4 linked regions of the Callithrix jacchus genome follow. The protein of the gene in region 1 purifies or fractionates together with the protein of each later gene. This does not show direct contact. Links are inferred from orthologs where the notes say so. Each region holds a gene or a part of one and is shown in the gene's direction. Other genes may lie near its edges. The genes, in order: ANAPC16, ANAPC4, ANAPC2 and CDC27.

Region 1 (7,242 bases):
AGAAAGGGAGGAAGAGAGGGAGGGCTGGCCAGGAGCAGTGGCTCACACCTGTAATCCTGGCATTTTGGTAGGCCAAGGTGGGAGGATTGCTTGAGGTTGGAAATCAAGACCAGCCTCTAAAAAAAGAAAAAGAGAAAAGGGCCAGGCATGGTGGCTCATTCCTGTAATCCCAGCACTTTGGGAAGCCGAGGAAGGAGGACTGCTTGAGCTCAAGAGTTTGAAACCAGCCTGGGCACATGGCAAAACCCGCTCTCTTTTAAAAAAAAAAAGCGGGGGCCGGGCCTCGTGGGTCACGCCTGTAATCCCAGCACTTTGGGAGGCTGAGGCAAGCGGATCACCTGAGGTCAGCCTGGCCAACATGGAGAAACCCCGTCTCTACTAAAATACAAAAAATTAGCCAGGCGTGGTGGCACATGCCTATAATCCCAGCTACTCAGGAGGCTGAAGCAGGAGAATTGAGGCTACTCAGGAGAACTGCTTGAACCTGGGAGGTGGAGGTTGCAGTGAGCCGAGATCACGCCACCGCACTCCAGCCTGGGCAACAAGAGCAAAACTCCATCTCAAAAAAAAAGAAGGAAAGAAAGAAAAAGAGAGATAAAAGAAAAAGGCATTATAAATGCCTAAACATAAACACAGCCTGTTCATGACTTTGAAAGAGAGAATAAAGGTCTCTTTATTACTTCAGCCTAGTGAGTAAAATGCAAACTTCAGTGATTATGTAACTATGTGCACACTATCTCACTTTTTTTTCCCCCAGGCGGTGTCTCATTCTTGTTGCCCAGGCTGGAGGGCAATGGCATGATCTCTGCTCTCTGCAACCTCTGGCTCCTGGGTTCAAGAGATTCTCCTGCCTCAGCCTTCCCAACTGGAATTACAGGTGCCCACCACCACACCCAGCTAATTTTTTGTATTTTTAGTAGAGACGGGGTTTCGCCATGTTGGCCAGGCTGGTCTTGAACTCCTGACCTCAGATGATCCACCTGCCTTGGCCCCCCCAAGTGCTGGGATTGCCCCCACAAAGTGCTGGGATTACAGGCGTGAGCCACCACATTGGGCACACTCGTATCTATCTAGCAAGACAGTTAAGACAATGAGGGATATTTAATAAATTTAACCACCCAGAAAAAAAAAAATACCCCTAAGTACTTTCAGAGATGCTAGACATTCATACCAATCAGCTGGTTACCTGTCAAAGCACAGTTAAAATAACAACTTAACCAATATGGTTCTCAGACCAACATATTGCTGATGGAAGGAATCCAATTTCTACAGGCCACTGCCCAACAAAATGCACATCACTCACTGAGAAACCAAGCTTCTGGTCACACCACTTAATTAATCAATAATTTAGGAAACAAAGGTTCTCACAGGCTAGCTGAGGTTAACTTGCACCAATATTCCTACCATGTACAGCTTGAAGCCCAAATAGTCTTGAAGCCCAAAATACTGAAGAGTTCCAAAGAAAACAAGTCGATCCTTAATAAAAACACTAATGTTCAGTCCAATCCTCAGCAAATAAGTCACTTTAATGGATGGTTTGGGTTGGGCGCGGTGGCTCACATCTGCAATCCCAGCACTTTGGGAGGCCGAGGAGGGCAGATCACCTGAGGTCAAGAGTTCGAGACCAGTCTTGCCAACATGGTGAAACCCCGTTGCTACTAAAAATACAAAAAGTAGCCGGGCGTGGTGGCGGGCGCCTATAACCCCAACTACTCGGAAGCCTGAGAGGTGGAAGTTGCAGTGAGCTGAGATCGCGCCACTCCACTCCAGCCTAGGCGACAGAGCAAGACTCCCTCTCCAAAAAAATAAAATAAAATGTTTAAAAATAGTAATAATTGATGGTTTGTGTGCTTACAGAACCAAGAAGAGGTTTCGTGAAAAATAACAAAGAAGGTAAACCGACAGGGATGAAGGAAAAGGGCACATAATTAGCAACAGTCGATGACATCATACCCCAATGGCCTATTCCCCGAGGCCTCTAAAATTCTCAACAAAAAAAAAACCTTCAAGGGGAAAGCTGAAAAAAAAAAGTTTCCCACAAAAACAGACTAAGGTGAAGGTCGGGACCTCAGGCCACAAGTTCCCGAAGAACCGGGGTCCGGGAGACAGCAAAAGTAGCATCTACCTGCCCTGCATGGCCCTGCGCTACGAGACTGCTCAGAAGGAAAGAGGGGAATAACCAACTTAACCCTGCTTCGAGGTGGTTTGGAGAAGAAGAGGAAAGCTGTGTCTTTCTGCAATACCGTGAGGGAAGCCGAGGCCCCGAATCATCAAAGAGAAGAAGAGTGCTAGAGGACTGCAGGCAAACCAAGACAGGGCGAGAAGGCGAAGGAGCCGGAAGTCCTCTCCTGGAGCGCGTTCCCTACTCCCCTACTCGCGTCTCAGCCCTGGCCACGCCCACCACGCACGGACGCGCGCACGCCGCCGGCTCCCATTGTGAGGGCGCGAGCACGCCGTCGTCCTGGTCGTGGTATGCGCAGCAGCTCCGGCGGACCCTGGGGGTGGGGCTGTAGGGGAAAGTGCTAAAGCCGCTGAGGTAAGAAGCCGAGGGCTCAAGGGCCCTTGGGAGCTTGGTGAAAAGGGAGTTAACCCCTAGGATCCTACCTGCAGGGACTAGGAAAATGGAGAAGGTAGGTGGAGAAACAGGAGACTGCTGTAGAAGACGTGCGAAAGGAAATTTCCCCAGGCCGGGTTGGACTGACTGCGCATGCGGGCCGAGGGGTGGAGACTGCGCAGTGGGACAGCGCCGATGGCGTCGTTTCCTGGAACCCAGCTGGGTGGGTAGCGTGGCTAGGAGTCTGCTTGGGAGCCGCTAGTGTTCTGACGGCTCCCTCTCCAGCCCCTTTCTCTCCACGTCCCACCCCGCAGTTCCAGCTGCGGCTTCTATTTGGTTTGGGTTGTAATCCAGCTATTCTTAAGTGGAAAAATTTGTTGATGGAATTTAATGATTTCTTGTAATTTGTACTAGGGTAGGAACTTTTAAGGAATTACTTTTTAAGAAAATAGGCATATATCTGTTAGAAAGGAAAGGAATTTATGAATGCGAGTACATGAAGTAAATGTTTAAGCATCTTAGCTCGGACACAGCAATCTGTGTCCAGAAAGCATCATTACTCTCCTGTGAGGATCTCCACTGCCAGCCCCAACCTCCCTGACAGGGCCAAGTCCCAGGATACTTAATCATCAGTATTTACTCAACAAAATTTTACTAAGCACCTCCGGTGAGCCCGGCCAACTAGTCGAAGATAGAGTTGTGCGAATACATCTGCACAATGAGAAAAAAAAACTTAATGGACCAGTACTCATGACACCGCACTTCTCTTACCTCCTGCTTGACCTTTGCTGAGCTGCATGCCCTGCGTTCTGTCATTTGTTCATCATTCATTCATCTGAAATGCCCGGGACTGGAAGCACAGTGGAAACACTGTGACCCAGGTTCTGTGCTCGGCATTGAGGGTAGAAAGACTTTTCGAAGGTAGCAGTATGTTTCTTAAGATCGTGAACCTTAAAATGAAAGTGTAAAGTGCCTAGTAGAGGGCATTGGCCTTCCTCCTGAACAGATTCTTTCCCCTCTGGGAGCTTGCTGACTGTTTTAGATAGAGAGAATTAAAACTTTTTCCATGAAGTTTTTTCATAGTAAGCATGAAAAACTGGGATCTGCATAGGAAAAACTCGGGAGTAACTCTCCGTTAATTATTTTGAATAGCTAAGATTTATGAAGTGTTTAATAAGCCTATAACTGTTCCAAGCGTTTTACATGTATTAACTTATCTTGTCACATCTGTGTGAGGTAGCTGCCGCTATTACAGGTTGAGTATCCCTAATCCAGAAATCCAAAATGCTCCAAAATTTAAAACTTCTTGAGTGAGGGGATGGTCAAAGGAAATGCTAATTGGAGCATTTTGAATTTCAGATTTTCGAATTTGGGAGGCTTAATCATTAAGTATAATGCAAATATCCCAAAACCTGAAAGAAATCCAAAATACTTCCAGTTCCAAGCATTTCAACCTGTTTCCCATTTTGCAGATAAGACAACCAAGGAACAAAAATATTAAATATGCTGGAGGTTGCAGTTTTTTGAATTTCTGCCATCAGACCTTGGCGATGATCTTGAGCAGTCGGATATAAATTACTCCCACATGGTTAGCGTTCCAGTAATGGAACACTAGGCATAAATGGGTTAAATTATTTGTCCACAGTCATGCCGCAAGTAAGTAGTGAAACCAGAACTCAGGCAGAGAGGCTTCATAATCTTACCCGCTATGCTGCTTTACCTTGCACATGACAAATGACATGCCAACAAGCCATTGCTTCAAAATGTCACAGCAGATAAGCTAAAATTGTCTCTATACCTCAGTTTTATTTTTTCATGTATAAAATGAGGAAGTTGGATTAGATGACCTTTAAGGAATCTGTGGTTTCTGTGAAACATTTAATTCATTCAGCAAGCATTTACTGAAATGAACAGCTACTTCCCCACTATAGGCCAGGTGTTATGTTTGGTTCTGGTGATTACTTAGTGCCTGCCTTGAGAGCAGTTACAATCTCTAGGGTGTATTAGTTTTGCTTTACTCTCATTTACCACTCGCTGGTAGCATTCAAAATTTAACCTACATCTTTAGAGCTAGAAAATACTTTGATATATCCTTCCACCTCAGCAGAAAACTACTTACAGTTAGCTTTGTGCTAATTCTGTGCTCCAGTTTTTAATCCTGGCTGTTTTGTGTATGGAATGATAGTAGTTCTGAGAGTTGGAAAGAAAACAAGATGAAAGGGAATTCCTTTGATTATATTCAGCTTAGAAGTCACACTGTGGCTAACTTTTGAAGCTGTCCTCACTCTGGCAGTTGCTTGGGTGCTCTGCTGAGCAACTGACTTCAAAATATAAAGTATAAAGCATTTGCAACTGAATAGAGCATTTATCAGGGTGTAGGAAAAATAGAGTTTTAAATCTTAGGTGAGATATATAAAGAGTTCACAGTGGGTTCCACTCTGAACTGATGAGAAATAAAGACTGAGCTACTCTCCAAAAGGTGGCTAAGTTATCTGTATGCTTTATTTGAATCCCACCAGGAATTCACATGAAGATTTGGACCTGATCCATCACTGCTTAAGTTCAAAAACAGTTGAAAAACTTGTCAGGCTATATTTTGACCCACTGCAGTCCAGAAGATTGGATATGAATCTGACTCCAAAAATTGTTGCCTCTGTGGATATGAATACAATTTGGAAAGTTAGCAGAGCTCAGAGAATAAAGGAAATGTAATCTAATAACAAGATTGAAAATGTCTGCTGAGCAGAGTGGCTCAGGCCTGTAATCCCAGCATTTTAGGGAGGCTGAGGCAGAGGATCTCTTGAGCCCAGGAATTGGAGACCAGCCTGAAGAATGTAGTGAAACTTCATTTCTACAAAAAATAAAATTAATGGGGTGTGATGGCACACACCTGTAGTCCCAGCTATTTGGGAGGCTGAAGAAAGAGGATAATTTGCACTCAGGAGGTCAAGGCTACAGTTAGCCAAGATCATGCCACTGCATTCCAGCCTGGGAAATAGAGCAAGACTCTGTCTTCGAAAAAAGAAAACATCATTAATCAATTTGCTTTTTTTTTTTGAGACACAGAGTCTTGCTCTGTCACCAGGCACTAGGCTGGAGTGCAATGGCACGGTCTCAGCTCACTGCAACCTCCACCTCCCAGGTTCAAGCAATCCTCCTGCCTCAGCCTCCTGAGTAGCTGGGACTACAGGTATGTGCCACCACACCCAGCTAATTTTTGTATTTTTAGTAGAGACAAGGTTTCACCACGTTGGCCAGGATGGTCTCCATCTCTTGACCTCGTGATCCGCCCTCCTCGGCCTCCCAAAGTGCTGGGATTACAGGCGTGAGCCACTGCGCCTGGCTTCAATTTGCATTTTTGCTGACAGTCTAGTTATAGTAGTTGCTTTACTGTTCCCATATCCCACTTCACTATTAATCAGTGTTACTTGTAATGAAATCAGAAACCAAGCTCTGCTTCTCTAACAGCTTTAAATCATCATCACAAAATTAAGCAAACAAAACAGCCAATGTTTCAAGACATACTATATCATTTTCATTACTAGAAAACTGGATTTTATATATATATATATATATATATATATATATATATATATATATTTGTATTTTATTCCCTCACTCTTTTCTGTTATCAAAAAACATGACCAGGTGCAGTGGCTCATGCCTGTAATCCCAGCACTTCGGGAGGCTGAGGTGGACAGATCACCTGAGGTTGGGAGTTCAAGACCAGCCTGGCCAACATGGGGAAACCCCGTCTCTACTAAAAATACAAAATTCGCCAGACATGGTGGCGCATGCCTGTAATCCCAGCTACTCGGGAGACTGAGGCAGGAGAATCACTTGAACCCAGAAGGCAGAAGTTAAATGAGCTAACATGGCACCATTTCGCTCCAGCCTGGGCAACAAAAGTGAAACTCCGTCTCAAAAAAAAAAAAAGAAAAGAAAAGTTTCAGACAGGCATGGTAGCTCACACCTATAATCCCGATACCTTGGGTGGCCAAGATGGGAGGATTGCTTGAGCCCAAGAGTTCCCGACAAGCCTGGGGACAACATGGTAAGAAGTTGTCTCCACCAAAAGTAAAAAAAAAAAAAAAAATAATTAACTGGGCATAGTGGCATGCCCCTGTGGTCCCAGCTACTTGGGAGGTTGAGAGGTTGGAATATTGCTTGAGCCTAGGAGGTTGAGACTGCAATGAGCAATGATCAGGCCACTGGACTTCAGCCTGGGTGAGAGAGTGAGAACCTCCCTAGAAAAAATAAATATATTTCAACTTTTTTTTTTTCTTTGAGATGGAGTTTCACTGTTGTTACCCAGACTGGAGTGCAATGGCACGATCTCGGCTCACCGCAACCTCCGCCTCCTGGGTTCAAGCAGTTCTCCTGCCTCAGCTTCCCAAGTAGCTGGGACTACAGGTGCGCACCACCATGCCCAACTAATGTTTGTATTTTTAGTAGAGACGGGGTTTCACCTTGTTGACCAGGATGGTCTCGATCTCTTGACCTCGTGATCTACCTGCCTCAGCCTCCCAAAGTGCTGGGATTATAGGCATGAGCCACTGTGCCCAGCCTCAACTTTTTATAATAAATATGTTCATGTCCAACTAACAAAAAAAGCGCTAATGAAAAGTATTCAGGCTGGTCTGGGTGCAGTGTTGTTACACTAACTGATCACAACCCGCTACAGATAT
Region 2 (7,348 bases), on another chromosome or scaffold:
GCTGTCATTAATGTTAGGGTATTTTATGTGTGGCCCAAGACAGTTCTTCTAATGTGGGAAGCCAAAAGATTGGACACCCCTGGTCTATAGCAGCATATAACTCTGCTGTTTCCTGCCCACACCTGGAACTCCACACCTGCGCTGTTTCCTTTGCTGTAAGGCTTAGGAAATTCATATTCTGTGAAGACTTCATGTGCAGGTGGTTATACTCTGTCCTTTGTAGTACAGTGTTTATGCCTCTGGGAACAGCCATTTTCACAAGTTGTGTGGGCATTTGTATTCAGGTAAGTTCCAGGAAAATGGACATTCAATTTCCATAAGAATGTAAAGTGCATAGATACTGGACACCCACCAGCTGATCCGTTATAACTGCCCCAAAACAACACCTGAAAATGCATTTTGAAAAACAAAGGCAAGTGCGTTTTCACCTTAGAAATGTTGATTCTGGAAGAGTTGGGGGGACATGCTAAGTTGTTTGTGGCAAAGGCAAGGGTTGCAAAGCCCCTGAGAGGAAGTCAAGGATTAAGAACAGTGCCTGGCACAAATTAGTTACTTGACACTGAATGAATTAATCTCCCTCCATCATCTACTTCCCAGGGGCTAGATCCAGTCAGAGGTCAAGAAGAGGGGGCTTGTTAGAAGTTAAAGGTCCTGCAGTGTAGGGCTGAGGGCCCCACAGGGTCGTGGTGTGTCCCTTATGCTGTGCTGAGGTGCAGGATCCAACAAACAAAGAGACAGGACACAGAAGTACAAGGAAAATGGAGCTGGGCTCAGGGGGGCCCTAATGTCCAGAAGTGTCAGTATTTATTGTGTATAGGTTAGGAGGCAGGGCAGTGAGTGAAGTCATCTTCAAAGATAGTGATAGGATTGTGAGCAATAAAACAAGGGGTCCATCCTCATTAGGTCACCTAGGCTATGAGGTGGACAGTGTGCAGCAAGATGTCCACCCCCATTAGATCACTGAGGCATGGAGGTGGGCTGTGCGCAGTGAAGAGGGTGCAGTGTGCACTACCTCTACCTACGGGCAAGCTACTTCTAAGATTTGTGGGAGGATGCTTTAAGTCACACAGCAGTGACAGAGCTGTCAGGGTTACCGCCACCTGTTGGCAGCTTCCAATGAGTTCTATAGGAAGACGCTTTTTGGGCAGCACAGTAACAAGAGCTAATAAAGTTCACAGTCACCAAGGTACAATTATCCGTAGGGGTTTTGAGCCCTTGAATGGATGCTAGAGGGATTGCCGGTCTGAGGGCAGCCTTCCACAAGAAGACGCGAGGTCCTACAACTCCTTTATCAGGAGGAGTGGCTCTTGCCCCAAGCCTGCCATACAGTGGGTATCTTAATGATACTGAACACTGCCCCCTGGGCCATGGATTCTTGTCCTGGTATAACTGTTTTTCCCTTAAATCATGCTCGGCACTGTCTGCTCCAGACATTCCTCTGACTATAAGCTGCTTATTCCTTAATTCATGCTCTGTACCGTGTCTACTCCAGGCATTCCTCCAATTATGAACTAAGATATAGTTATATATATATATATAAATGAGTGGTGAGATATTCTTTAGGCACTCATTCTATGAACAAATATATGATTATATAGAGAGAATTATATAAAGAAATAACTGAGTAGTAACACTATAAACTGAGATATTCTTCAGATCTTAATTGTGCCAGGATTTTGCTTAGTTCTCCTTCCTTGGTGCCTATGTGGGGGGTTATCCACACTGAGGCCTCTTTCTCCATTGAACAAGTGAAAGGTAGTGAAAAGTAGATGGCTTTCTACCATAGGTCTGTGGGAAGTAGAAAAGTTCCCTTTTAAAGTTTCCTTGCTTATTAAAGAGTAAGTGTGCTAATAACTCTTTGTTAAGCCCTATCCTATGTAGTTGTTAGACATGCCATGCTTATAGGCAGGTAGTATATTCTATGTTCTTGTATTTCAACCAAGATATCTGTGCTGAACCAGGCATATCCCAGCTCTCCATTGCTTTTACCTATTTAGAAAAGTTTTAAGTTGTTACCCAATCGGGTTTTAATTTAGATTGTGAGGTCTGGCTCCAGCTAATGAAGATCAGACACAGCAGTAAGGATGACCCCAAATGCATAAGGGATAAATTTGTGTGTTTTCCTTTGTTCATTGTATTCTTGTGGCATGAGCTTCCTGCAGACCAGGAAGTAAAAATTGCATTGCTGAAAAATCCTTTGTCTCAGTGCTAAGTTTTCTTTGCAGCACCGAACATCTATTTCCAACAGATTTTAAGAACCCTAGAATGACACTGTCACATTCTCTCAGGGAGGTCATAGCTGTGGGAACTGTGAACATGCTGACTCATTTAAATGTGTCCTACATAAATCAACATCAGATGAGTTCTGATTTACAAGACTGCCAGGCAGGCCTGTGAGCCTTCTGGCAAAACCCGTCCCATGCATTTGTGTAGCCCCAGTTCTTCCACATAGTAAATGCCCAAGAAGCTACAGAAGAAATCGTGTGTGAGCCCACAGTCCTCATTCCTTATGATGGGGCTGCAATTACCAATAAGTTGTGAGCGTTAAATGGGATGAGGAGTCACAGTATTATTTGCTTGTTAGGGAGGTTTGAGGGCAGGCCCCTCTTCCCTCTTCAAATTGGAATCACCCAAAGAGTTTTAGTAAATACTGGGCCCATCCAGAGTTAATTCTCTTTTAATTGGTTTGGGGTGCTGCTTGGACAGGTGAACTTTTAAAATTCTATACTGAGCCACCAGGACTGACATGAGAACTATTTGTTTGGAGTCTGTCAGAGGAGGCTCCAGCTGATCAGAACCTTAAAGTTCATATTCTTTTTCATTTCCCCATTGTCGCTGAAGCCTTCCCCCTACACCCCTACCGTCCCTTCGAACACAGCAGCGAATTTTTGGTAAAACTGGAAAGTTATGCAAGCGTGCCTACACGCGTGCACACATGCGTTACCAAAAAATCCGCGTGCAGCTTTCCACGTCCCAGCGCCCAGCGCTCCCACCTGCAGCTGGGTCCACTGCTCTGCTTCTCCCTCTCTGCTCCACTCGGGGCGCCGTGCCCCACCCACGTGCCCCACCCTCCCTCACGTCCCGCCCCTCGCCATTCCCTTCCCCGCCCACGTGCCCCACCCTCCCCCTCGCTCCGCCCCTCGCTGCTCCGTGTCCCTCCCAGGGGCACCATTCTACCCCCACCTCGCTCCTCCCCTCGCTGCTCCCTTGCCCCGCCCACGCGCCTTGTCTCGGTCCGCCCGGTCTGGATCTCAGCCTCGCCAGGCCCTTTGCCCGGCCCGCCCCGCCTTCTCCTCTCGCGAGGCACTCCCGGGGCCGGAAGTGCTTGGAGCGCGCGACAGCGGCAGGGCGGGGCGGTCTGGAGGCTGCGGCGCGCCGCCGGCAGAGGGAGGCGAGAGGCCGCTGGGGCCGTGTTGGTCGCCGGTGGGGACTCTTGCAGGTACCGCCCTGGTCGGGGCTTCTCGCGGAGGGCCAGGAGCTCCTGCCGGCCTCTGACTGGGGTGTCGTTGCAGGGCCGTCCCCATGTTGCGTTTTCCGACCTGTTTCCCGTCCTTCCGGGTGGTGGGAGAGAAGCAGCTCCCGCAGGAGATTATTTTCCTGGTCTGGTCTCCCAAGCGGGATCTCATTGCTTTGGCCAACACAGCGGGCGAGGTAAGTGAGCCGGTGGAACCCGCCTGGGCTGGGTCTGCCCGCTGGGGGCCCAAAAACACCGAGCCTGTTCATTCGGGCCACAGGCGGCCGGAGCCTCAGTTTCCCCTTCTGCAGACGCGGCGGGCCACCTGCTACCCCTTCCCTGCCTCCCAGGACGGCAGTAAACTTTAAGTAATATATGCGAAAGGTGGTGTCTTTGCCATTTTCAGTACTTTTATGGCTAACGTAACAGTTTTCACACAGCTTAACACCGTCAGGCAATTCTGCATCCCCAAGTCTTCTTCACTCATCGCTTTATTAGTTAAATGAACTTTTTAAAAAGCCCACGATGTGCCACCCATTAGCTAGACATAGTGGTAAATTCAGGGCCTGCCCTAAGTTTACTTACAGTTTTAATAGCAGAAGGAAGTAATTCTCGAACTTTAGCTGCAAGACTGTATGCATGTAGCTGACCCAGAATATATATTTAAGAATCTGTAGTCTCTTGTCCACGTTTTATACTACGGGTTGGATGCTAACTTCCACTAAAAACCTTTAAATTGGACAAGGAAGAGATGCATCATTGGATTCCAGACAGAACGTGCATGGGTTTTGTCAGCATTTCTAGTTCACATTAAACTTCATCGAGTTTGTTGTACCAACACCTGTTGTACCCAACTTTCTGCTGAGAATTATTACTTGCCAGCCATTTTGTAAGGAAACCTTCACCTGTGCATCTTTCGGCCTCTGGCTTGAGCATTATCTGGCCAGGTGAGAGTTGTGTAGAGTTAAGTTTGGAAACTAAGTGGTAAGGAAATCTTAGCACCCTGTGGACTACAGCATCATGTTATCTACCATGACCCAGTAGCCAGGGTATTGATGTCTAATTTTTCAGGGCCCTCCATGAAATCTAGTCTCCCTCCTCTGCCGGGATGCTTTGAAACTCTGTCGTGGCTCTAGAGAACAACAGGTGGTACAGCCACAGGAGCAGGAGGAAAGGTAGAAAGGAGGTACATCTGTGCGATCAGAAGGGTAGGCATGATAGTGGGCACTGTTACATCCATTTCTCAGTGAAGGAAGAGGCAAGGGAATTTTCTGTGGGTGAAGATGGAGAAGAAAATATTGCAAGCTTGAGGAGAAAGAAGAGGTCTGAAAAAGCTAACAAGGCAGGTGGACTTGGGAAACCTAAATAGGATTCAGTCAGTGTTAAGAGCACCACAAGATCAGTGTTCTTATTTGAGAGACACTGGTTGAATGAGGTTGTGTCTCCGTTCTGTTTGGCTGTGTGGGTGCAGGTACAGTTGGGTTTAACCAGGATTGTTGTTTAGCAAGAGAAAGATGAAAGAGTTGAAGTTATGTGCAAGGGTAGTGATTTTGTTGATGAACTTTGGGTTCTAACGTGGTTAAGGAGGTAAGTGAGGGCAGGTGTAGGGAGAGGAACAGTGACTAGGGGGTAGAATCAATAGACTGTATATTCTGGTGAGGTCAAAGAATTGGAGTTGAGTGTTGCAGAGATGAGCTGAAAGAGGGGTGGTGGATGGAAGGTGGGAAGGAAATTTGAAATGGAGATTTTGGTGGCCCTGCAGTTGTTGGTAATGACCAGGCTAGGGGTGTGACCCTGGGAGTGGCTAAGTGCAGTAGAAGATGTGATCACTGGAGGTGAGGTAGTTGACAGCTGAAAAGCCAGGACATATAGCTCTTGAAATCACCAAAAATGAGGATGAGTGTGCTGTTAGAAAGCATGAGCGAGCCAGGTGTGCAAATCTTCAAGGAATGAGGGGAATGGCCTAGGGGTCTGTAGAGGACTGCAATCAAGGGGAGAGTGGGTGGTATGGTCTGACTGCATGTGATTCAAAGTTAGGAGGTTTTCAAGAAGAGAAGAAATGGCATTGAGCATCAAGGAAGACACCTGCTTCATCTCCTAGCCCAAGAGGAGCAGTACAGGGTCCGTGGGATACAAAATGGTCACCACCTAGGAAGGCTGCAGGGAAGCCATGTCCTCTGGTGAGAGGCACATTTCCGATAAAAGTATGAAGATTTTAATTTCATGATGCCATCTGACCATGAGCTGCAGAAAGCACAGAGGAAGGGTTTCAGAAGTAAGGAATGGCAGGAATGGTTTCAGAAAAGAGAGGGTCAAGTTGGAGAGATGATGTTACCATGAGTGAAGGGTGCTGTGAGGTAAGGCAGGGCATGGTGGTAAAGCTGAGTGTGGAGTCGATGGAGATCGAGAGGGGTCTTCTAGGAGCACGTGCAGTTGTGAGGCCTTTTCTTCCTTACTGTCAATGGTTGTATAGAAGCTGCAACAGGATCAGTCTTAGAGCTCTTGGGCAACATTTTGACCTTCCAAGGTGGGAATTTACTGTTGTGGAAATGGAGATTTAGAATGGTTAAGTGATTTGTCTAAGATCCATGGCTAGTGTGTGACACAACTGAAATCAGATGCCACGTGGTCTAATTCCAAGCTTAGTATTATTTGAGTATATTACAGCTAGTTACCTTTTTAGTGATGTTTGTGTTCTTTTATTTCTTTTTTGGTTGTCATCTTGGACAGCCTTCCTTCTAAAAGGTAAGTCTCCCGTTGACATAAAAGATGGGAAGATGTATTAGGTACTGGGTGAAATTAGACCTTGTTTCACCCATTTATTTTAAAATACCTTGTGTTCTTGCAGACACTGTTGTCTTTTTCTGTTTTTCTGATAGCTAACTATACTTGAGAGATAGTAATTTTAAAAAAGGTTTTAGTAGGGATCGAGGTGTATTTTATTTTTGGAAATTGATTTTTTTTTTTATTTCCTGCCGTTATATCTGCTTTGTCTTAGGTGTTACTTCATCGACTTGCAAGTTTTCATCGAGTTTGGAGTTTTCCACCAAATGAAAATACAGGAAAGGAAGTGACCTGTCTGGCATGGAGACCAGATGGCAAACGTAATGATAATATTACAAAAATATGTTTTTATTTTCACAAAAAGTATTCTGTAAAGAAAGTCCATTTTCAGGAAGAATTTATTGTTCTTAGTATACATTTTAATTATAAATACCAGTTAGGGGCCTTTTTTTTTTAAAAACATGCCTTAAAATATTTTTATAGAACTCAGATTAATTCTGCTATCTTGTTTCTTGGCAAAGATAACTCTGAGGTGAAATCTGATGGAATGTACAAAATATTTTGGTTTTGTTCTTTCCGCTGTCATCTTGGCCTGTGTTTGGCCCAGGCAGCACCTGCCACTCTCCAGTCAGGCAGTTCAAGGCCATCATGGCCTTTCTCTTTCACAATGGATTTTAGCACGAAATGTGTGGCTCATATTCCCTTGGTGCATATATGTTTGCCTCCCCAGGGGGACTATGAGCTTTGACTCCATACCTTCCATTTCTATGTGATCTTTCTTCTGGTCCCATCCTATGTTATAGGCTTTTATGGCTCTGGTGACAGAATCGTCCTCTTCCATGTGATATTTTTACAATGACCATCCTTATTGGAACTGTTGGACACATATAATCAAAGTGAAGAAAAATGCTGTAAATCCTACAGCTTAAAGTTCATCTGTGTCGTGGGTATTTTAAGAAAAAAGTGACTTGTTTTTGTAAAATATGTGTTCTTTGCTTAATTTTTCTGTAGATAAAGTACTTAAACATTTTATTGACGCTTTAAGAAAAATGAATTGTTTTTGTAAAATATTTGCTCCTCGTTGCTTTTTTTTTTTTTTTTTTTTTTGAG
Region 3 (6,589 bases), on another chromosome or scaffold:
TAGCACCCCCAGAACCTTCCAAGAAATGATCCAGCGTCTGTATGGGCGCTTCTTGAGAGTCTATATGCAGAGTAAGAGGAAGGGAGAAGGGGGCACAGACCCGGAACTTGAGGGGGAGCTGGACAGCCGGTATGCCCGCCGCCGCTACTACCGACTCCTGCAGAGCCCGCTGTGTGCAGGGTGCGGCAGTGACAAGCAGCAGTGTTGGTGTCGCCAAGCTCTGGAGCAGTTCCACCAGCTCAGCCAGGTCTTGTGAGTACTCTATCCCGATGGCCATGCTCCTGCTCCTTCCGGTTCCCTGCTGCTACCCTGGGTCCAGCGGGCCTCTGCAGAAAGCTGGTGAGCTGTTCTGATAGCCAGGAACATGACACAGAGAGAGTCCCAGGGATTCCTGTGCAGTGTGTCCTGGACGCAGGCGTCTCTCTTCTGTCACTCACATCCAGTTCCATGGGGTCATGCTAAGGCTAAGGGCCCACGTGGCTTGTCTGCAGCAGCAAATTTCTTAGCAATTCCAAACTTCCTGGACTCTGCAGAATTCCACTGTGCTTTTGTCGACCCTGAGGAGGAATGATTCTCACCCTGTGGACATACCTTGCCCTGTCGTTGTGAACAGAAGCTTCCTGCTGCTTCTCTCCAGGGAGATCAGGTCACTGTCAGGACAAGCAGTCCCCTTTCTGGTTCTCTGGAGAGGGTTTTGTTGTTAGAGACAAGTCCTGTTGTAGCCCTGTAGCAATCGTCACACCCTCGGTGGCCATTTGGGGTGACTTTGTCACATTGAACAGAGGCGTAGCAGTGCAGCTCAGTGAGATTCCTCAGTGGACTAAGGAGTGTTCTGTTGCTGACAGGCATCAGGAAGAGTGTGAAGAGCTTCTCTTGGGCTCATCCCAGCAAACCTTTCTCATCCTCGTCTTGAGTCCTTTTGCTTCTTTAGACAAGAGGCCGCACTGAAAGGCACTAATTTGCTCAGATCTGTGTGCCGTGGCATCCATACTTCTGTGGCCAGGGTAGCATTGTAATTGGTGGTTGATCCTAAGAGATAAGGCTTGGGCCCCCAACAGCCACACCTGCTGCCACTTATCACATGGGGAAGGCCAGCTGGGCAGGGACAGCAGAGCCTGGGAGTGCTCCCAAGCTTCTTGAAGCCTTTGGCACAACCACCACCCCCAGCTGAGGACTGTGAGAGTGTATGTGTGCTACATGCATGCTATAGGCAGGGCTGTCCTGGCATGAGGCTGTTCTGGGCTAGAAGGGCCGGTGTGTGCCGTGGGTGCCCATGCCGGGGCTAGAGGGGCCGGTGTGTGCCGTGGGTGCCCATGGCCAGGGCTCTTCTCTAGACACAGGCTCAGTCTGCTGGAGCGGGTCAGTGCCGAGGCTGTGACCGCCACCCTGCACCAGGTGACCCGGGAGAGGATGGAGGACCGATGCCGAGGCGAGTACGAGCGCTCCTTCCTGCGAGAGTTCCACAAGGTGAGGACCCCTCCCTTGAGCTGGGCCCCTCTGGGGGTGCCAGACCTGACACCTGGCTTCAGAAACAGCCAGAGCATGGTGGGCCCAGCCCCAGGCAGTGCCTGGAGCTGCCTTGATGTGGGGTAGAGGCTGGTACTTCTGGTCCCTGGTGACAGTGAAGACACATCTGGGATGTGCTCATCAGGTCTGCACAGAATCCCACAGCCACAAGCAGTACCGGGCCAGGATCCCAAGGGGCTGCTCCAGGCAGGTGTGGCGAGGCCAGGCCTACCAGAGGGGCCAGTGAGTGACCCCTTCTCCTCGCTGCCCTTCTTGAGTGTGGACTTGCATGGCTGGTCCTTCATGGACTGGCCTACAGCCAGCCCGCACCACAGAGGGGAGCCAAACACCCTTGCACGGGGCCTCCAGGTACCTGTGCTGTTGGGGTGTGGTCCGGGGCTCTGCTCTGCACTTCCAGAGCCATGGGGGAGCTGGGCCCAGTCACGTGGGTACTCCCACCCTGGCCCCACTTGACACCTCTCCTCTCCCCAGTGCTGCGGGGTCCACCTACTGAGGTGCAGATTGGCCGAGATGTGGGGCTTTCAAAGAGGGCGGGTGGGCATCTCCACGGTGGTGGGGTAGAGTGGGCAGTACGGTGAAGAGGGTGAACCGTCTGTGTGTCTTGCCACTGGGTAGCCGCCTGTCGGCATGTGCACGCCTGGGCCCCTGTGGCGGAATTGCCGCTCGGGGTTTGTGTTCACTCAGATGCCCTTGTGATGTGCAGTGTCATCTGCATGGGGGTGGCCAGTCACCCGTCCAGTCCCAAGGGCGGGTTTATCTGTTTAAGTGGGGGCAAGTGTGCCTCCCAGGCCCAGCGCACGGGTCATGCATGTCCGTCACATCTCGCGCTAGGGCTGCTGTTGCCACTGATAAGTGTGGGCACTGGTGCGCGTGTGGGCACTGGGCTCTGGCTTCGCAGGAGGACCAAGACGGCCCCTTTGGGCTCCTCCCAGCCTCCGAGTCAGTGTGGGCTCACCACGCCTCCCTGCAGCTCACACTCGTGTTCTCCCGACAGTGGATCGAGCGGGTGGTTGGCTGGCTCGGCAAGGTGTTCCTGCAGGACAGCCCCTCCAGGCCCGCATCTCCCGAGGCGGGCAACACCCTGCGCCGCTGGCGCTGCCATGTGCAGAGGTTCTTCTACCGCATCTATGCCAGCCTGCGCATCGAGGAGCTCTTCAGCATCATCCGAGGTCCACCCACTCTCCCGTCTGGGGTACCCTCCCAGGGCCTTCGCTGTGTCCCTTCTCCTGTCCACGTCTGGGTTCCCTGCACCTTTGCCTGTCGCGCTTGCAGGGCTGGTACCCTTCCCTCTGCAGGCATCCCCGTGTCTGGATCCGGGCAGGTGCGGCAAACACTGGGTGGTGCTCCTAAGTGTCTACTCCTGTGGTCCCTCAGCCTTGGCTCCTGCTGGGGACTGGCCCCTGGCTGTCACTGTGTCCACCCTGTGGCATTCTGGTCAAATGCATCAGCACGCCAAAATGTTGGGGGGACGTCTGGGTCTAGTGGGTAGTCTCCTCGTCCCAGGGCTGGCGAGCCCCCCACATGTGCACGTGTCCGTGTCTGTCCCTGAGGCATGTCCCTCTACTTGTAGACTTCCCAGACTCCCGACCAGCCATCGAGGACCTCAAGTACTGCCTGGAGAGGACAGACCAGAGGCAGCAGCTGCTCGTGTCCCTCAAGGCCGCCCTGGAGACGCGGCTGCTGCATCCAGGTGCTGTGTGCTGGCTGCTGCTGCCCCACTGCTTGGCCCTCAGGGCTCAGACACTACCAGGGGGCTCCTGTCCAGGGAGCTGGGGACCCAGTCTCTAGCCCTGGACTTACAGGTCTAAGGAAGAAATGGGTTGAGAAGCTATTGGTGGGGTGCTTAGGGGATCTGGGGTACCCGTCAGCTTGCTTGTTTCTTTGAAGGGAGTTGGGACTGGCCAGGTGGTCTGGGGTGTTGAGACCTGGTTCTCTCAGAACACACTACCCAGCAGGGAGGGCCTGTGAGCAGGGAGAGGCTGGGACGGGGGTATGGGGGAATGGGGGGATGGGCAGACGAGGGGAGCAGCTTCTGCGGTCATATTGGTCTCCTGGGAAAGGAGGCTGCAGCAGGGATCTGTAGACAACCTGACCGGTGTGGCCAGCAGCCCACTCAGGCGTTGGCCCCTGGGAGGCACTGCATGACCACCGGCATCTCCCCGGCTGTAGGCGTCAACACGTGTGACATCATCACCCTCTACATCTCTGCCATCAAGGCGCTGCGCGTGCTGGATCCCTCCATGGTCATCCTGGAGGTGGCCTGTGAGCCCATCCGCCGCTACCTGAGGTGAGGGCTGCAGCTGGCCCAGGAGCCACGGGGACCCCAGGTGTCCTGCTGAGCTCCCGGTGGTCCTGGGGGCAGCGGAGGGTGTGCTTGGCCCTCAGGATACAAGGTCTCCCCCAGCTGGGCTGAGTGTACGGGCTCAGGCCCAGGGCTCCTTCCTTTACTCTTGCCTGTGCTGGGCACCTGTCCTTGTCACATGGTGTCACCGTCCCCTCTGTGTGCAGCTACCAGAGGCCCCCCTGCAGCCCTTCCGTGGCCTCCCCTTCTTCAGCACAGAGAGAAGCTCATCTGCTCAGCCTTGCCTTGGCGCTGACCAGGCCCCCACGCGCCAACCAGGCAAGGAGAATGGGCTCTCCTTGCCCATTCTCCTTGTCCGTCCCAGCCTTTTCCACGGCAAGGAGCAGGCACTCCCCGGGCTGTTCGGTGGAGAATGTGTTGGAATGAGGGCCTTGCCACAGCTGCCTGGAAATTCCTCGGGAGTCGAAGAGGCCCCGCGGCCCCAGGCCTGAGCAGCAGGAGCCACTGGGACTCCGGCGCCTGTCTGGACTTGTTCGCTGCTTTGTGGCTGTAATGGGCCTGGCTTCTGGGCTGGTTCTTTTTCTAAAGTTTTTCCTATTTTTGAGACAGGCTCTCACTGTGTCGGAGTGCAGTGGCAGAATCAACTCTGCAGCCTTGGGCACCTGCCTGGGCTCAAGCCGTCCTGCCTCAGTGTGCCACAGAGCTGGGCCTGTGGGCACACAGGCTAGCCTTGCCCTCACAGCTCCTGCTTCCCAGGACCTGTAGCGCCGAACCCGAACCTGTAGCGCCGGGTTCGTTCTTCAGGGAGTCTGACAGGCCTGTCTTTAGTGCACAGCTCGTCATCGGTGGCTGTAGAGGCAGGGGTGGTGGTGCTGGCCTAGACGGGGCGGGGCTGGCGTGGGCAGTGGGAGGGGCATGTGGGGTATCCATACCATGGGCCACAGCAGTGCTCATGCCGGCAGGACGCGGGAGGACACGGTGCGGCAGATCGTGGCCGGGCTGACGGGGGACTCGGACGGGACGGGGGACTTGGCCATTGAGCTGTCCAAGACTGACCCAGCAAGCCTGGAGACGGGCCAGGACAGTGAGGATGACTCGGGCGAGCCTGAGGACTGGGTCCCAGACCCCGTGGACGCTGATCCAGGTTAGCTTGCCCCACAGCATCCATTTCGCCAATGGATGGAGGCTTCGGCTAGGCCAGCCACTCTGGGCTCCTCTCTGGCCGCATAGCTTGGTTGTGTCACGTGTGGCCAGTGCCCCAGAGGCTTGAAGGGGTCCAAGGTCAGGGCAGTGCTCCACCCCCGCCGGCCTGGGCAGGCCCAGGGTGGGCTATGTCCCTCTGTGGCTGGTCACTCTAGCCATGGGAGGTGCCCTTCCTTCCGCCCCTTGTGAGCTGTGGGGTGTCCCCTGCCCCGCCATGACATCTGGCAGAGGAGTGAAGGAAAACGTGCATGGCCCCTGCACCCGCTGCTGGTGTGGGCCTCAGAGTCCCGTTAGGTGACAGCTACTGCTCAGGGCCCATCTGTCCCTGGCCGCAGTGTGCGGAGCTCTGAGAGTTGTGGGACCCCTGCCTGGCCCCAGCCCTGGCCCAGATGGTAAGTCTTCACTGTCTTTAGTCTTCCTCAGAGGAAAACCCCAGAACCTGTGGCTTGTACCCTAAGCCTACTTGAGGGTCCGGGGAGGTCCCTGTGAGACGGGAGGGGCTGGGGATCGAAGCTGCTGCCCTAGGATGCGACTCCTGGTCTCCTGGGAGGTGCCGGGCTGCTCCCAGCCTCGAGGGCCTTCAGGAAAAGCCATGCTGGGCTATGCCTCGGGCATGGTGGGATGGGAGGGGGGTGCCCTATCCTTGCCAAGGTGCCTATCAGGTGACACCCCTGCCCCCGCTGTGCCAGGGAAGTCCAGCTCCAAGCGGCGCTCCTCAGACATTATCAGCCTGCTGGTCAGCATCTACGGCAGCAAGGACCTGTTCATCAATGAGTACCGCTCGCTGCTGGCCGACCGCCTACTGCACCAGCTCAGCTTCAGCCCGGAGCGGTGAGGCCAGGGAGGCGCCAGCCGTCTCCAGGGGTGCTGGGGCCCTTGCTGAGCCTGTCAGGACAGGGCCTGGGCCTGGTTGGACTGTGTGCCACCCCCACTCCTGGCTGGGGCTGAGCTGGCCGCCGGGGTGCCACGCAGGCCCCCTGCTCTGCCCGGGAGGTGCACCCATGACTGCTACAGGTGCTGCTTGGGACTGCAGCCCCTGCGACCCCCGCCCAGACACTGGTTCGTCTCTCCAGGGAGATCCGCAACGTAGAACTGCTGAAGCTGCGCTTTGGCGAGGCCCCGATGCACTTCTGCGAGGTCATGCTGAAGGTGGGTCCCGCCTCGCCCACCGCCCGCCACCCCCAGGCCCCCGTGACACCAGCTCCTCCCTCAGGATATGGCGGACTCCCGCCGCATCAATGCCAACATCCGGGAGGAGGACGAGAAGCGGCCGGTGGAGGAGCAGCCGCCATTCGGGGTCTATGCTGTCATCCTGTCCAGTGAGTTCTGGCCGCCCTTCAAGGATGAGAAGCTGGAGGTCCCTGAGGACATCAGGGCAGCCCTGGAGGCTTACTGCAAGAAGTACGAGCAGCTCAAGGTACCTCCAAGCCAGCCACCCCACAGGGCTCTCTGCACCTCACCCTGTGCTGCGGGCTCAGCAGCCTGGTGCCTATGGCCACCCCATTGTCTCCCGAGTGTCTAGGGTTGGTTATGTCTCACAGCCATCCCTGCAGGAGA
Region 4 (7,362 bases), on another chromosome or scaffold:
GTCACATTTTTGGCCGGGCATGGTGGCTCACAGCCTGTAATCCCAGCATTTTGGGAGGCTGAGGTGGGCAGATCACAAGGTCAGCAGTTTGAGACCAGCCTGGCCAACATGGTGAAACCCCTACTTAAAAAAATACAAAAATTAGCTGGGCATGGAACCTGTAATCCCAGCTACTCAGGAGGCTGAGGCAGAATTGCTTGAACCCATGAGGTGGAGGTTGCAGTGAGCCTATATCAAACCATTGCACTACACCCTGGGCGACAGAGCAAGACTGTCTCAAGAAAAAAAAAAGAGGGAGGGTCACATTTTAAGAGTGATAGCTCTTACTCTTCCTTTCCATTCCCAATGTTAGATGCTCTCGTCTCACAGCTAGCATGGTACATTGTTTCCAAAGATGACCCAACAACCCCTCCCATGGCACATGCCTTGTGTGGTGTTACTTTGCCACTCTTCTTATTAAGAGGTGGACTCTCTTTCTCTTCCTGGTAAATTCAGGGTGACTCTGAGTCTTACTTTGACCAACAAGAAATAATGGTCACAGGTCTAGGCCTAAGGGGCCTCACAGCTTCTATTTTTGCCCACTTTGTTGTCAGCCACCAAGTGAAGAAGCTGGAGCTAGACTACTGGCTGATAAGAGGCCAATGTGAAGAGAAAGGTCATGTGGAGGAGAAATGAAGCACTCAGCCAGCAGCTAGCACTGACACCCTAGACATGTGAGTGAAGCCATCTTGGCTCTTCCAGCCCTAGCCAAGCCAATGCTGGTGATGTCCTGTATCTGTGTGATTGTCCAGTGTGGCAGTCACTAGCCACATACAGGGCTACTGAGTCCCTGGAATGTGGCTAGGGCATCTGAAGATTTCATTTTTAATTTCATTTTCTTTTAACTTAAATTTTAAATAGCTAGTGGCTACTATATAGGCCAGTATAAAAGTCTGTTACCACCCTAAGTCATCCAGCATGATCCTGCTAAAGCAACTGGGCACAGGGCAGTCAAAAATCACCTTAGCACCTGCCCTTTGAGGGACTATAAGTACATACACAGTGACAAGAGAAGGCGGTGGAGAAGGATGCAGTGTAGCTCTGTCAGCCCTGTTTTAACAACGTCATCTGCATAAAACGTGGGAACCATAAAGGGAAATTTCCAAGCAACAGAATGTATCATGAGTCCACTTCTAGCTTAGAGAACTCCTGACTAGTAAACTTTTAAACCTGTTTTCCTTATCTGCTGAAAAACAAAATTTCAACAGTTCCCTGGTTCACTTTTTTGGGGGGAGAGGAGGGACAGAAAGGTATGAGAGTCTACAGTGCGTGCTAGACAGAGCCACATTGGTGATACATCGAAGTCTCTTAATCCTTTTTTTTTTTTTTTCAAACTAAGCGAACAGAAGAATTTCAGAGAGGTTATAATTTGCCTAAGGACCTATGACTTGTCAGTGCTAAAACTAAAATTCAAAACCAGGCCTCTGAATTTCAGATCCCCTACTGTTTCTACCACAGCGGAATGCCTCTCCTATCAAAAACAAAAATTTCTGGCCGGGCGCGGTGGCTCACGCCTGTAATCCCAGCACTTTGGGAGGCCGAGGCAGGTGGATCACGAGGTCAAGAAATCGAGACCATCCTGGTCAACATGGTGAAACCCCGTCTACACTAAAAATACAAAAAATTAGCTGGGCATGGTGGCGCGTGCCTGTAATCCCAGCTACTCAGGAGGCTGAGGCAGGAGAATTGCGTGAACCCAGGAGGTGGAGGTTGCGGTGAGCCGAGATCGCGCCATTGCACTCCAGCCTGGGTAGCAAGAGCGAAACTCCATCTCAAAAAAAAAAAATTTTTTTTCTAACGGCTTATTGAGCGTTTCCATGATCTCTCCACCTAAGTACTTCCAATTAATGCCTTCTTAGCAGACTGATCTCATTTTTCTTCCCTCCACTTAATCCTATAGTTCCTTTTCCTCTAATTCTATCCATCCTTCAAACTCCAATTTAAACTTTTTTTCCCTTCCATAAAACTTTCCTCAGTTTAACACAATTTCCCTCTCTGAATTTGTGTATTACTTATAATAGGCACCACGTAACATAGCGTTCTCTGTTCCACTGCTTTTCCCTTAAATAGGCCTTACTCTCCTTGAAGACAAGCTATCCTTTATCTTTGGGGAGTGGCAATCTTTCCAAATTTCTTTAGATTTCCCCGAGCCGTGAGTAGATACTTTTGGAATGGACGAATAATCTAAACTCAATAGACAAATACTTGTTGATTTATTATAGTCAGCCCCAAACTCTGCTGTTTTACCCTTTACTATATTATAATCTACTGCACACCAATAAATCCAGGAGGGCCGAGTGGCGACTCCACACTGCAGCCCCGCCACGTAACGCTCCTCGCCAGTTCCGTCACGCCACGCCCAGCCTGCTGGTTGCTGCTTGGGCGTGGCCCAGCCCTAGGACGGCCGATTGGGCGTGGTATGCGTGGCTGAAGGCGTGGCCGAGAAGAGGAACTTACGCTCAGGGTCAGACTCGGTAGTTTCCGGTAATCCTCGACAATTTCCGGCAACGGTTTTTCCTCGTCGACCCACCTCGGGTATTTCCGACATACTTCGGGCCTTTCCGTCTCGTTTCCGCTCGGCTTTCTCCACTTCGGGTATTTCCGTGTCCCGCTCGGAGGCGCTCGGCAACGCTCGGCCTCCCCAATCCCCCGGTAACGGTCGCTGGTGAGTTTAAATGAGCCGGGGCTGGCCGGGCCGGAGCCGCTACCGGGGGGGCTTGAGGCACTGCAGAAAGTGATCCTCGAGGATGACGGTGCTGCAGGAACCCGTCCAGGTAATGATAACTCTCTTCTCTGAGGCCTGGCTCACAGCCTTGGTCGGGGAAGCAGCGTAGGGCCACTCCGCGGCCTGGTGCGGCCTAGGCCGGGCTGCTTCTCCCGCCTCTACTGCCTCCGAGTCCTGCCTATCTTTAGTTCGGAGGCCTTGCCCGCAACCTAAGCCATGTTACCTCGGGCCCTTCGTTACTTTCACCCTTAGTGTGAGCGGTTTCGTTGAGCATAACCGCCATTCCGGTCCAAGCCAACGTCCGGCCAGCCCTTCCTGTCAGTCCAGGGGCCTGGCTTGACCTGGGGTGGGAGATGAGGGTCCGAAAACGCACCGCGGACGCTCTCTTGCCTCAAAGATGATCGAGAAGCACATTTGATCAGAGCTTGTATGATGTTAGCGATGGTAGGGCAAGTTTGCGGGGGTTTTATTTTTGTTTTTGTCTTATGTGAGAGGGTGGAGGGGAGAGTAGGATCGGTCTTTTTAATACTAATTTCTATTTTGGTAACAGACTTCCTAGCCCACGTTGCCTTTCTCGGGGAATTTCCCACCGGACAATGATGATTTGAGAAGACAACTCCAAGCCTCAGTGCTGAGGTGCAAGCACCTATACCAGGGGAGCGGGTGGAAAGGGCACATCTGGGTTGTTTTCATCCTCGGTGAAGGGGATCAGGAGCATTTTGTTGTGCATGTTTATAAGGCATTCAGGAAATGAAAGACAAATAATGTTTTTTCTGTCCATTTCACCGCCCTTACACCAAGATATGCTTTGACGCACAGTGCCGTGTTACATTAACGAAACCCTATTGGATTTTAAGTATGTGATGCGGTGCCAAGTCATTCCCCCTCCCCGGGCCCCCCCACAGCTGGAGAAACTGAATCTTTTGTGCCTTGGGGATGGACCAGGTCTGGGAGACTTCATCCTACCATATGATGTTTGACTCGATCAGAATTGACCTATATCAACTGCTGTCATTGAGTCATGGACTTAATTTTGAAGTTACAAAGCAAACCAATTTTTATAAATTCCTTCATATTGCCCTTAAAAGGCTTGAGATATCAAATAGTAAATATTTTAACATACCACTACTTTCCTGTTTGTTTAATTTTTCTTCACAGCATGAAATACTCATTTCTTCTAGTTTGGCTTCTTCTCCAGCTGTTTACAGATAGCAGCTATTAGTGTTTGAATTCATAAAACCTAAGATTATACCTTATGAAATTTACCTGTCTGTAAGTTGTATCAGTTCTTCTAGAGCTATTTTCATCCAAATTCTTCTTAACAGTATAGCGTTTCTTTAAAAAATTTTTTTATTCTATGGCTATAGATAAGATAATTATATATACACAGTTTTTTTAGGCCTAGCATGAGCTTAAATAGATAAGCAGATTACTCAAGTTGTTTAATTTCTGTTGCATATCCTTGTAATTTTGTTTTAATAATTTTTTTTTTTTTGCTTTCTCTGGCTCCAGAAGTCTTCTGAAGTGATAAACTAGTTGCAGTGACAGTCTATAACCACCATTTAATAATAATTTCAGACGTTATAAAAGCATGGAAAAGAAAAGAAATATGTAGCCTATTTCTAGATAGTACCCATCAGGTTTCTTGTTTGTACTTAAAGTACTTTTGTTAGTAATTACACACTTGGGTATTTTTAAGGCTTAAAGGTCAGATTTGCCTGTTTTTCACAGTAGCATTGTTCACTAGATTTTTGAGATAGCGGTAGAAAGTTATAGGATATGACTAGGTGAGATTTTTGGTTGTATAGTATAAGAAGAAGCCATTCAAGAAGGGATGATTTGGAGCAGTGAGAAGAACTGGCAACTTTGACTACAATGATAAAGATCAATGATCAAGGATAGTGTTGCAGATGGGAAAGAATTAGTAAAGAAGAGAATAAAAATAGGACAGATATAAACATACTGTCTTAAAAAAAACTGTAACGACAGATTACATGCATTTGGAAAGCAATGAGAATGAGTTGGAAAATTGTTTTCTTTCTTGGAATGTCTCAGAGTTGATGGTATTACTAGGCATAGGAAAAAGTTGACAGAAAAGATGAACAACTATTTTTTGCATTTTTTTCTTTAAAGTTTTAACATAGAATGGCCAGCCTGATATACCATATATGCCTAAATTAAAATTCTGTCTCAAGTTACTACCTCTCAGAAGAGTATTACTTATATTTGAGTCCTTACAAAAATCTCACATATGAGGCAGAAGTTCTGTCAGATCTTTTATTTTTAATGGTAACTATTTGGAAAGACACACTAGCCTAAGTGACTTCAGTGAGAGCTTTTTGGGTATTTATAAAAGTCACCTGATGAAATTGGTATTTAAAAAAGAAGCAAAGAGATTTTATATAGATTTAGCAATTATTCCTAGGGGTAAGACTTCACAGAGATGTTGGATGAAGTTGTAAATAAGCTTTTTGAAAATTGGTTTCATAAGCAATATAGCAATTGGTACTACATACTTGATACTGCTTTAGAGATCATTAGATGGTGAAGGAGTACTTTTGGCTGGGGGTAAAATGTTGAGGGACAACATCTAACATGGATTCAAAGGGTATGGATCTTTGAATGAAAAATTTAGATTTAATGTACATTGGTAATGAATAACTATTAAATGAGCAGAAGAGTTTTTGAGCAGAGGAATTATGTAATAAAAGCACCACCCTGGGAATATTAATCTGGTGCTGTTGGAAAGGGAAGAAGAGACAAGAGTTAGACATACAGACAAGTAGAATAATCCAACTGCTTGATAATGTAGACCAGGGCTTCTTAATCTGGACACTGTTGACATTTGGCACAAGCTATTACTTTGTTGGAAGCTGAGCATCATAGACTGTTTTGTAGCATCCCTGGCTTCTGCCCACCAGATGACCCCAGCATTCGTCACAACCAAAAATACCCTCTAGACATTGCTAAATGTTGGGGACATTAGTTGGGATCAAGAAGGCAAAATTGCCTACAGTAAGAACCACTGATGTGCACTTAAACTAAATCAGTGTCCTAGAAGTTAGATTATAATGTATAATAAGAAATTTCAACTGTGATTTTTTTTTTCTTCATGTCTTTGTACATTGTGTGAAGCCTTTATTATCTATTTCTTTTCAAGTCTTTAAAAAAAGGCAGCCGACTGGGTACAGTGGCTCACACTTGCGATCCCAGCACTTTCAGAGGCTGAAGCAAGCAGATTGCTTGAGCCAAGGAATTCAAGACTAACATCAGCAAAACAGGGAGAACCTGTCTCTTTAAAAAAATAAAATTTAAAAAGGCAGCTTTTTTGACAAAAACAAGAACACAAAATGTATTAAAAATTTTAACAAAAACAAGTGCAAAATTTTTTATAATAAACTTTCTATAACAAAAAATGTATAGTGATTTTATGTAAGTCTGAGTATAACTTATAGAGGCTTGTTTATATTTAAAATAATATATTTAAGAATAGCTAGCTGGTAAGGAATTTTGCAACTTTAAGCTGTTGGTTTGTTTATCTTTTAAATTAGTGCAACTGGGGACTAACCCATTAATCAGTCGGATTTCTCTTAAACATTTTTTGACAGAGAGGGAGAAGGAGTGTTGTTCTTTTGGCTTCATAACTTTCTTTTAGCAGCACTTCATCCATCTGGCTTTAATTTGTAGAACTCTAGCGGTAATGTACTGGGTGTTGTTCTTTAGGGGAAGTCCTACGCCATCAGTTGGGCAGAGAAGCTGATTTTAGCTGTGTTGGTCATCAGCTACTACTTATCTGTAGTGCCTTAGATAATAATCTGTTCTCCCCCCAAACACCCCACAAGAGACACCATCAGTCAGGAACTTAGAGTGAGCAAAGTGGGATGGAAGCTGTATGTGGGATTCTCTACATGGCAGGTTTTTTCTGATGTTTTTAAGAATTGGTGATAAAGGAATGATGTTCTGAGCAAAGCTTGATTTTAAATCAGAAATGGATGGAACTCTTGAATATGATACCTTTTTTCCTTCTTTTTTTTCCCCAGCTCCTACCCCTCATTTCTTTAAAAAGACAGAAAAAATTTTCAAAATTCTAGGATTCTATGACTTTAGTATATAAGAGTGAAATTTTCCTAGTGGTCCATAGTATTAAATTTGCTTGTAAATCATTTGGGTCTTTTGTGGCTTATATGTTGCAAAATAAGCAGTTGTAGCAGGTATGCTGAGGAAATATATAACGGAAACTACATATTTCTTGAATTTATATTAAGCGATTGGCAAGGAAAAGGTTTTAAGTGCTTAATGTGTGACAGTCAATATACAAGGAGCATTATAAATGGATCATCTTATTTAATCCACAAAACAACTCCAAGAAATAACTCCATCTATCAGATGAAGAGATTGAGGCTGAAAAAAGTTGAGTATTTCCCACAAAGTCCCACTACTGGAAGTGCTGGCAGACAAATTTGAGCATGTCACCAAACATCAGATCTTTGGTATCTTCATTCTACTCACCATTTTCTTTCACTTACAACAAAACTAAACATGTAGGTTCTTAGGAAACCCCGGCTTTTATAAAGGAGTAATTAGATGGTAATTATTTG

The links.
Region 2: the proteins of ANAPC16 (region 1) and ANAPC4 purify together in Homo sapiens (co-immunoprecipitation; 10 studies listed by BioGRID and IntAct, with this or other methods). This does not show direct contact. The link is inferred for Callithrix jacchus from reciprocal best matches to the Homo sapiens genes ANAPC16 and ANAPC4.
Region 3: the proteins of ANAPC16 (region 1) and ANAPC2 purify together in Homo sapiens (co-immunoprecipitation; 5 studies listed by BioGRID and IntAct, with this or other methods). This does not show direct contact. The link is inferred for Callithrix jacchus from reciprocal best matches to the Homo sapiens genes ANAPC16 and ANAPC2.
Region 4: the proteins of ANAPC16 (region 1) and CDC27 purify together in Homo sapiens (affinity purification with mass spectrometry; 10 studies listed by BioGRID and IntAct, with this or other methods). This does not show direct contact. The link is inferred for Callithrix jacchus from reciprocal best matches to the Homo sapiens genes ANAPC16 and CDC27.

What each region holds. Positions count from the first base shown.
Region 1 is NC_133513.1:57,947,901-57,955,142, reverse strand, and holds the start of ANAPC16 (anaphase-promoting complex subunit 16), read left to right. Parts: upstream 1-2,436; 5' UTR 2,437-2,536; exon of another isoform or gene 2,537-2,699; intron 2,700-2,723; exon of another isoform or gene 2,724-2,777; intron 2,778-5,614; exon of another isoform or gene 5,615-5,620; 5' UTR 5,621-5,744; intron 5,745-6,844; exon of another isoform or gene 6,845-6,967; intron 6,968-7,242. UniProt on the Homo sapiens protein: Component of the anaphase promoting complex/cyclosome (APC/C), a cell cycle-regulated E3 ubiquitin ligase that controls progression through mitosis and the G1 phase of the cell cycle.
Region 2 is NC_133504.1:168,461,717-168,469,064, reverse strand, and holds the start of ANAPC4 (anaphase-promoting complex subunit 4), read left to right. Parts: upstream 1-3,327; 5' UTR 3,328-3,439; intron 3,440-3,512; 5' UTR 3,513-3,522; coding exon 3,523-3,651; intron 3,652-6,452; coding exon 6,453-6,558; intron 6,559-7,348. UniProt on the Homo sapiens protein: Component of the anaphase promoting complex/cyclosome (APC/C), a cell cycle-regulated E3 ubiquitin ligase that controls progression through mitosis and the G1 phase of the cell cycle.
Region 3 is NC_133502.1:185,592,659-185,599,247, reverse strand, and holds part of ANAPC2 (anaphase-promoting complex subunit 2), read left to right. Parts: coding exon 1-252; intron 253-1,334; coding exon 1,335-1,467; intron 1,468-2,521; coding exon 2,522-2,696; intron 2,697-3,097; coding exon 3,098-3,217; intron 3,218-3,696; coding exon 3,697-3,814; intron 3,815-4,791; coding exon 4,792-4,973; intron 4,974-5,721; coding exon 5,722-5,863; intron 5,864-6,105; coding exon 6,106-6,181; intron 6,182-6,245; coding exon 6,246-6,449; intron 6,450-6,589. UniProt on the Homo sapiens protein: Together with the RING-H2 protein ANAPC11, constitutes the catalytic component of the anaphase promoting complex/cyclosome (APC/C), a cell cycle-regulated E3 ubiquitin ligase that controls progression through mitosis and the G1 phase of the cell cycle.
Region 4 is NC_133506.1:87,064,427-87,071,788, reverse strand, and holds the start of CDC27 (cell division cycle protein 27 homolog), read left to right. Parts: upstream 1-2,663; 5' UTR 2,664-2,786; coding exon 2,787-2,813; intron 2,814-3,314; exon of another isoform or gene 3,315-3,402; intron 3,403-7,362. UniProt on the Homo sapiens protein: Component of the anaphase promoting complex/cyclosome (APC/C), a cell cycle-regulated E3 ubiquitin ligase that controls progression through mitosis and the G1 phase of the cell cycle.